Canis lupus familiaris: one gene and its partner. The protein of the gene in region 1 purifies or fractionates together with the protein of each later gene. This does not show direct contact. Links are inferred from orthologs where the notes say so. Each region holds a gene or a part of one and is shown on either strand. Other genes may lie near its edges.

Region 1 (4,126 bases):
CTTGGAAACCTAAGCCAGTAGCTCAGGAGATAAAAATGTTAGCAGTGAAGGAAGAAAAGCAGTTTTTGCAGCTGACCAGGAGAAATAATAACTAAATTCAAATACACATTTGAATCTCTCTCTCTCTCCCTCTCTCTCTGCACAACAATGCTGAAAATACGGAGATATAGGACATTATTTTAGCTTCCGGATTTCCAGACCAAGGAGAACGCTGACAAATACAAATCTAACGATTATAGAAAACGAAGTAATCGCCTCAGCCCTTTCTTGGAGAGCAGAATGTGCTGCAGAACTGATTCTAAATGCAGTTTAAAATGCATTTTAGCATTAAATGGAGTTTTCTCCACCAGCAAGGTGAATGAAATCACTGCACCGTTTCTCCTGTTTCTCCCTTGCCAGACGACCGTGGAATACTACCCGCTTTGAACTCTGAGAAATGCCTCGGGTCTGTGGGAAATTCCAGTCCCAAATCACTGTACGCGGTTCACAGGGACGGGGGGAGGCACGGAGGCACACGAAGTCTGCCTTCCAGATGCAACATTAACCCTGAGACGCACGTGGAGAAGTGCCGGGCACGCTGGAAGGGCTCAAAAAGCATCAGCTCCTAACTGCACGGAAGTAAACTTCCTTCGCGCCACCTCGCGCCCAACCCCATGCCCGTGGTCTGGCCCACGCTCAGACACAAAGACTCGCTCGCCCGCCGGCGCGCGGAGGGCGGGGCGGGGGCGAGCCGGGGCGCAGCGCGCAGGCGCAGGCCGCCGCACGTGGGCCCCGCTGCAGACCCGGCCCGGGAGCCGCACCGAGGCGCGCGGCCGCCAACGTCGCCAGGCCGACGGGGTCTCCGGCCCCACGCTGCGGGCGGGGCGGGGCGGGGCGGGGCCGGCCGGGAGGGCGGGCCGCGAAGGTCGTCGCCAAGGTCGTGGGCCGGACGTGAGGCGCCGGAGCGACGCTGCGTGCGTGCGGGACTCGGAGTACGTGCCGGAGCCCCAAACCCTCATGCCGGCCGCGCCACCCCGCCCCTTCCCGGGGCCCTGGCGCCACAGGCCGGCTCGGCCAGGGGTCCCAGCCGGGGGCGAGAATGGAGGGCGCCGGGGCAGGGACTCGCCCGCACCCCCACACAGCCGCGGGGGGGGTCGCGACCCCCCCAGTCCCGCCCCGCTCCACGTCCCCGGGTCTTCGCTGCCCCTCCCGGCCGCGGGGGCCGCTACAGTCCCGCCCCTTCCCGGGAAGCGCAGGCCTGAGTGACGGCGCGCTGGGCCAATGACGAGGCGGCGCCGCGGGGGCGGGCTGGGGGGCGGGAAGTGGGCGGGGCATCGGGGAGCTGGGCAGGAAGTCGGGGCCGGCGGCGCTGAGACGAGCTTCGGGTCCTCGGAGCGTCCGGACCGCGCAGCCTAACGCTCGTCCTTGGTGCCTGCGGCATCCTCTGCTTTTTCCCCGGGCAGCGCTATCGGCGGCCAGGTAGGGAATCCAGGAAGGGCTGCCGAGCCGGCACCCAAGCCTGGGGGCCCTGCGCGTGGGTCCGGGGTGGGGACGTGGGAGGGGCGGGTCGGCACGTGCGGGCCGGGCTTCGCCGGAGGGGCAGGAGCGGAGTCGGCTGAGATGAGGGGTTCACAGGGCTAATGGGAGCTCGCGAGTGGAACGCGGGCCGTGGGGGACGGCGGGCCGGACGCTGCAGGGGCTTGGGGAGGTGCGGGCCTAAGCCCGGGGGCTCGTTAGAGCCAGGCCTTTCCCAAAGTGGAGGGAGGGGCAGGGACGGGATGCCCAGAAGCCGCGAGCCCCTCCCCCACCAGCAGCCCCTGCGCCCCGCTGGGGGCCCCGGCCTGCAGGCGGGAGGCGGGAGGCTGGTGACGGAGGGGGCAGCCTCTAATGAATGGAACTTCAGAGGGTGCTTGTTCTTCAGCGGACTGCGGCCGAACCGTTGCGTAATTGGGAAAGCGGTCCAGGCGACCTCGCCCAGGTCATGCAGGAGCTGCTCCGGCTCCCCGGCCGGGCTCTCGGCAGTCGGCCACCGATCTGACGTTAGAAGGACATATTTTAAGAAAATTCCCTGTCTGCTGTGTGAATTGGGGCCGGGGACACCCCTCGGCCCTGACTGCCCAGTCCACACGTGCTGCCCCTGGTCCGGGGTTCAGCCCAGGCAGATGAGCCGTGAACACTCCATCCATTCTTGCTGGCCTTGCTTACTGAACCGTAATGACATCGGGAGTAGTTTTCTAACCTTTTTAAGGATAAGTTGAACTTTTATTTTCACAGCTTGAAATAAGTCGCTGTGTATTAATATTACTAAATTAAACGAAAGGACATCTTACAACAGCAAGAGGATGTATTGTAATAAAGATGTGCTTAAAGCGCATCTAAATGCACAATGTAAGTCTATGGTGGCCTAGGGATGGGGGGGGTGGGGATTGACTGCAAAGGGCCTAAAGGGACTTTTTTAGGTGGTGGCCATCAGACACAGGTATATGATTTGCCAAAACTCAAAGTTACTAAAATCTTATAATTAAAAAATACATTTAAGCAAATTTGCCTTTTTGTAGGATAGTGAATAAAAACTAGATACCTTTTTTTTACCTTTTTATTGGCTAACGAATGAAACTTCATTGTTAAATAGTCCCCATGCACCCGAAGTGATTTCACTGTCTAATTTTGAAACTTATTAAAAAAAAAAAAGATGCCATTTGCTGCCTCAGAACATTCCAGACAAGATACTGGAGAGGAGCCCAGCTAGATAATGGCTCTGAACACTAACCCAATTCCACTGGGCTGCCTTCAGTCAGTCCTACAAGGTCCTTTCTTTCTTGGAAGCCCCTGGGGCTGGGAGGTGAAAAGGCTTTCTTTGAGAACTAAGGTGATTGCTCTTTGTAACTGCAAATCTGTTTTTTTTTTTTTTTTTTTTTTTTTTATAAGATGCTTTTAAGGAAAGCCTCCTCCCTTGGAGTATCCTAACATTTGAGGATAGAATCTAGTTTGATTTCAATTATGACATTTCATAATTAATTTTTTTGAATGGGTAAAATGCCTGTTGAAAGTAATACTAATTAGATGTTATTTTTGGTGTGTCCTGTCTTGCTAAAGATCCAAGTACTGTGAAATGTGAAAGGCCCAGAAGTTGGCAGTAATAGCAAAGACCACATTGTACAGACCAAGGACACTCCTGGCCTCAAAATTTCTTTAAGTATCCCAGTATCCACCGACTGAACATCTTACGGCTACCTCAAGTTTAACTTGGTGAATTATGTCCCCAACTATGAATTCATTATTTCGCTACAAGCCAGATTTCTCTCCTTGTATCACCTTGCATTTTTTTTGTCCTGGATGGGTTAGCTTCTGACCTTCGAGTCTCCTTGGTCCATTCCCATGCTACCCTCGGTGGGAGCTATTGACAGTAACCTGCTTCAGACTGTCTCAGCTTCAACCATCCTGTGTGCAGACAACACATTTCCAGGCTTTGCTTTGCTTAAAGGACCAGCACCAGACTACTGGGGTTTGAGGCCCTACAGAGCTGGGCACAGCAGGCTTTCCCCACTCTTGGCAGCCACCTTGCATCCCGTATCTGTCCAGCGCAAATTCTTTCTAGTCCAGGAATCCTCAGAAGCGATTCTTTGAATGAATGACCCAAGGCTGCATTATGGTTTATGGGAAGTATGAACTGTGTTTCCCCCACAGAAAGTCACCATGTCTATTCTCAAGATCCACGCCAGGGAGATCTTTGACTCTCGCGGGAACCCCACTGTTGAGGTTGACCTCTACACCTCCAAAGGTAGGTGCACCTTTGTTTCAGGACTTCCTCTCCCACACTCCCATCTTTTTAAAATTTAAACAACAGAGTCTTGGGCAAGAAAAGGTCTGTTGTAAAAGCCTTTCCTTCTGATGTGCACGTGTGCTAGGCTGTGGTTCCTGAATGGGAGGAGGTGGGGGAGGGTTACAAGGCATGGGGTCCTTGTCTTGCTGCTTCTTGGTATCTAAAACAACTTGCTCCCAGGTCAGTGAGAGTTGGGTAAAGTAAGATCATACCTCGTCCCTAAAAGGGCCCGTCACTGGTTTGCTTCACAGCTTGCTCTGCCTGAGCAAGCATATCTGGTGTGGTTGGATGGAGCTTTCTTCCTTGGAAAGGAAAGATGAGAAT
Region 2 (4,398 bases), on another chromosome or scaffold:
TGGCCTGGTCCCAACCATTACAGGGTAAGGTGTAAACGGTAAGGAAGAGGTATAGTTTGGCCACAAAGGGGGCAGGTGACACCATCAGAAGCATGTGCAGGGTGGGGGTGGGGGTAGGAGCACAGTTACTGAGCTTCTGAGCTACCTAGTCCCTGGCTTAGCAGGAATAGGGGAGATGGATGGGCTTATTGTTTGGCGTTGATGATATCCACAAACTCAGGCTTGAGGGAAGCCCCACCCACGAGGAAGCCATCCACATCAGGCTGGCTTGCCAGCTCTTTGCAGGTTGCTCCAGTCACAGAACCTGGGAAGGGAGAAGACAGAGGGAATGGTCAGGGAAAGGACAGGAGGCTGAGTTCACCCCCATCTCAGGCGGGAGCCAAACCTGTTTACCTCCGTAAATGATACGGGTGCTCTGAGCCACTGCATCAGAGACGTTGGACTTGAGCCATCCCCGGAGCTTTTCATGTACTTCCTGGGCCTAGAACAAGAAGCCAGACCAAGTAAGCCCTTTTCTGCTTTTCACTCAAAGGCTAAAAGACCCTGGGCCCCAATGAAGAAAGGTAGTGTGGGGCAAGGACCCACAGATCTGAGCCAGAATACCACAGCTCCAATCCCATCCAGACCCTGGAATGGATGTCCTTGGACAAGTCACTCTCCTCAGGGCCTGGGGACTCCTGTCTTTAAAATGAGCAGTTGGTTCAGATGATCTCTGTTGCACTCTAGTCCTACCGAGGCAGGTAAGATGGAGCAGAGCTCTTGGTCTCAGTTACCTGTTGGGGTGTTGCAGTCTTGCCAGTCCCAATGGCCCATACAGGCTCATAGGCCAGGACAACCTTGCTCCAGTCCTTCACGTTATCTGTGAGACAGAGATCACAGATGGAAGGGTTAATGGGAAGGAGCTGGCCAGCCTGTAGCCCAGGGAATGAAGAAAGATGGTGGCCTAATGCCCCCTGGTGGCTGTTGGAGGAACTCCAAGTGGCATCTAAACCATCTGGGCAGGAACAGACCCGATATGGAGGATGCAAAGGTTCTCACCCTCCCCCTTCCTTTCCAGTGTCAGCATGGAATCAAGTCAGGCCGCAGAGCATCTCACCCTACCCTCTGTGCCTCTAGCCCTAGCCAGGCTCAAAGGTCCCCTTCTCCAGAGTTACCTGCGATGACCTTGGTTTGCTCGAAAACAACCTTCTCAGTGATGCCAGCTTCCCTCTCATCTAGCTTCTCCCCAATGCAGGCAATTACTCCGAGTCCCTCTGCCAGGGCGTGGGCCACTTTCTGTCCAATCAGCTGTTGAGTAGCAGATCTGGTGAGACACCCCTCTTGGAATAAGGGGTCTCTTACCTCCCATTCTGGTTACTCACCTCATCCGACTCCCCAAAGACATGCCTTCTTTCCGAGTGCCCCAGGACTACCCATGTGGCTCCGCAGTCTTTGATCATGCCAGGGCTATTGGAAGAGATAAAACCATGCTTCAGGAGAAAGCCCACCCTGTAGCCTCTCCCTCAACAAGGAAAGTGAGGGCACGGTCCCCACCCGCCCCTCTCCTGCCTGCATCTCACCTGATCTCCCCAGTAAAGGCCCCGTTAGTCACTTTGTAGCAGTTCTGTGCAGCCACAGCAATCTTGGCATCTAGCTTCTGCCGAGCGAAGTCGATGTAGGCAGTGGGAGGTGCACAAACCACTTCTGGAGAAATGATGGCACAAGAGGATGAGGTCACAAGGAAGCCCTTCTTCAGACTCCATCCAGTGTTCTGGAGTCCTCTTGCCTTCACCTGATTTCTTAGTTCTCCCTATCCCTTCTCACTCCAGCAAGATCATCTCTGTCCACTTAGCAGCTCAGGCTGGGCCTGTACCCAACTCCTTGAGCCTTCCAGGTGTCCCTGGGAGGCCATGGCCCTGGCCCTGCCCTCTGCTCTTTAACAGCTGTGGTTCTGATTTCTCAGGGCTATTCTGGGCCTGGGCACCTCCTAGACTCAGCATTCTCTTGAAGCCAACCATGCCTCCCTTCTAAAATTGTCCATCCCTACCACCCCCAGGCAAGGATTTTTAGCAAAAGCAGAAGGAGCAGACACTCCTGGGGTTTGTACTGGGGTCTGGGGAGCATAAACCAGGGCCTCTTTTGATCAAGCCCGGGTTTCTGTGAGTTAGATGAGTGGGAGGGTGAGGGCTGAGGACAGCACTCTGGGCCCGCGGGTGGCACGAAGTTGACTGGCTCGTGGAGGCCTTGCGCTTTCCCGTTTCCAGCCTGCACAACGCTGTGGGATCGCTCCTCATTCCCCCAAAGCGCCTCTCGTCTGGCACCTGCTGAGCCCCTTGGTCGCAAGGCGGGCGTCATCGCGCCGGCGAGGGGAAAGGATGGCGCGGGGAGCGCAGGCCACCGCCGCCCGGCCGCCGGGGATTCGGCCCGCCCCGCGAGGAGGCGGCGCGGGAGGAGGCGCGAGGAGGCGGCGCGGGGAGGCGGCGCGGGGAGGAGGCGCGGGCTACGTGCGGCGGCGCACGGGGCGCACGGCCCAGGGGGCAGGCAGCTGGGTCCCCGCACCGAGGCTCGGCCTCCTCCCCCGCACCCCGGGCGGCCGCCAGCAGCCCGCCGTCGCCCGCAGGGGCTCGGCTCCGACCCCCGTCCCGAGTCCGCACCCCGGGCCGTCTCCCCCACGGCGACCCGAGAAATGCTCTCCCGCCCCGCGGTCGGACGGCACGGCTCGGTGCGGCGCCGAAGTCCCGACCCCGACGGCCCTCGGGCGCGGCCCCGCACCCAGGGCACGCGGACAGCGGCCGCCGCCCCGCCCGGCCTCCCCCCGCGGCCGGCGAGGCTCACCGGTGTCGGCCGGCACCTTGGCCGCGTTCAGGGTGGTGATGAGCTCCCCCAGGTTCTTCTTGCGCCCGTTCATCTTCCAGTTCCCCCCGACGAAGAACTTCCTGGAGGGCGCCATGGCGCTGGGAGCGACACACTGAAGGTCAGGAGCACCGCGCAGCCGCTGCCACTGCCCGCTTATGTAGAGCGCCGCGAGCCGGAACTCCGCCTCCTCCCCGCCCCCGGCCACGGCTCGGCCGCCCCCGCCCGCCGGGAGGCCCGCCCGCCGCCGCCGCCGCCGCCGCCGCCGCCGCCGCCGCCGCGGGGTTCGGAAGCGACGCCCCCCATTGTGGCGGCGTTCCAGGGCGGCCGGGGGCTCGGGCGCCGCGGAGCCACCGCCTGGCTTGGGGGAGGAGGCGGGACCCGGCACTCGGGGGCGCCCCACCTCACGATTCCAGCACCCCCGAGGGCCGGAGGGTTTCCCCAGGGGCGCCTTGGCCGGAGGTTACGCTGCTGGCGCGGGCTGAGGGCGCTCCGCGGGGCAGGTCTCCAACTCCGAGGAAAGGACCTCCCTTCCCCCGCCGGAATAGCTGCATCCCTGATCGCTGAGCAGGCACCTCTGACCTGTGGGGCGGGGTGCGGAGTGTCGTCCCAGTTACTGGGCCAGTGGCAGGGTTCAGAGCGGGAGGGACGGTCCACACTGCCTCGAAACTGCAGCGGAGAGAGAGGCAGTTCAGACCCCCTCCGTCCCCAACTCCGGGGGTCCCCCCTCTGCTCCAGCTGGCCCGCCCCACTGGAGACTGCAGGGCCTAGGGGACCCGAGACATCTGGGAAATAGCCACTTGGGACCTGTCCAGTGTGGCCGCTGGAAGGCAGGTAGAGCTCTTCACCCCCCACGTTTGCTCGGTGTCACCCCCCTCCACTGGCTCTGATTGGACAGCCCCTACCCCTCAGCGTTCCTCTACTGCCCCCATGTTCACCCCTCCTCATCTCACACTCCGCTTCCCAAGAGCTCTAGAACTACTGAAAAGTAGAGAACAGCCAAAGGAGGGGGGCAAAGAGGCAAGGGGCCCAACGGGCTATCTTTCCAGCCCCAGGCAAGGTCAGTCTCCCCCAAGGTATCAAAAAGGACACGACTTAGCCATTATACTTTTATTCACATCGTGTATTTTGGCATTTTTCCAGAGAAGGGGCAGGGAAGAGACTGGGTGGGGGAAAGACAGGCCGGAGGGCAAGGGGGACTCCCATTTCCTTCGCAGCCCTCCCTGCCTGGCCACACAGGGAGCAAACACTAAGAGGGAGGGGAGGCACAGATGCCCCCTCCTGTGGAAGAGGCTGCATGAAGCTGCACCCACGCGCACGCACACACACAAACGAGCCCCCCTCCAAACCAGGGGCCGGCAGGGTTACACAGAGAAGCAGAGCACTGTGGGTTCAAGGAGTGGGGTGGGGGGGACAAGGAAGTCTCCTCACAGACAGGTGGCCGGCCCCTCCCATCCCCCTCCTGCTCTATCCCCAAAGTCTCTCAAGTGTCCCCCGCTTTGCTTGGCCATTCTCCTATGGCCTCTAGCTTCTTCCCTGCTGCTGAGGACAAAAAGAAACAGGGTA

What was found.
Region 2: the proteins of ENO1 (region 1) and TPI1 fractionate together in Homo sapiens (co-fractionation; 4 studies listed by BioGRID, with this or other methods). This does not show direct contact. The link is inferred for Canis lupus familiaris from reciprocal best matches to the Homo sapiens genes ENO1 and TPI1.

Annotation. Positions count from the first base shown.
Region 1 is NC_049226.1:62,805,256-62,809,381, reverse strand, and holds the start of ENO1 (alpha-enolase), read left to right. Parts: upstream 1-1,299; 5' UTR 1,300-1,458; intron 1,459-3,666; 5' UTR 3,667-3,675; coding exon 3,676-3,760; intron 3,761-4,126. UniProt on the Homo sapiens protein: Glycolytic enzyme the catalyzes the conversion of 2-phosphoglycerate to phosphoenolpyruvate. In addition to glycolysis, involved in various processes such as growth control, hypoxia tolerance and allergic responses.
Region 2 is NC_049248.1:7,936,160-7,940,557, reverse strand, and holds the start of TPI1 (triosephosphate isomerase), read right to left. Parts: upstream 2,979-4,398; 5' UTR 2,930-2,978; coding exon 2,815-2,929; intron 1,684-2,814; coding exon 1,560-1,683; intron 1,447-1,559; coding exon 1,362-1,446; intron 1,288-1,361; coding exon 1,155-1,287; intron 860-1,154; coding exon 774-859; intron 482-773; coding exon 394-481; intron 305-393; coding exon 186-304; 3' UTR 1-185. UniProt on the Homo sapiens protein: Triosephosphate isomerase is an extremely efficient metabolic enzyme that catalyzes the interconversion between dihydroxyacetone phosphate (DHAP) and D-glyceraldehyde-3-phosphate (G3P) in glycolysis and gluconeogenesis.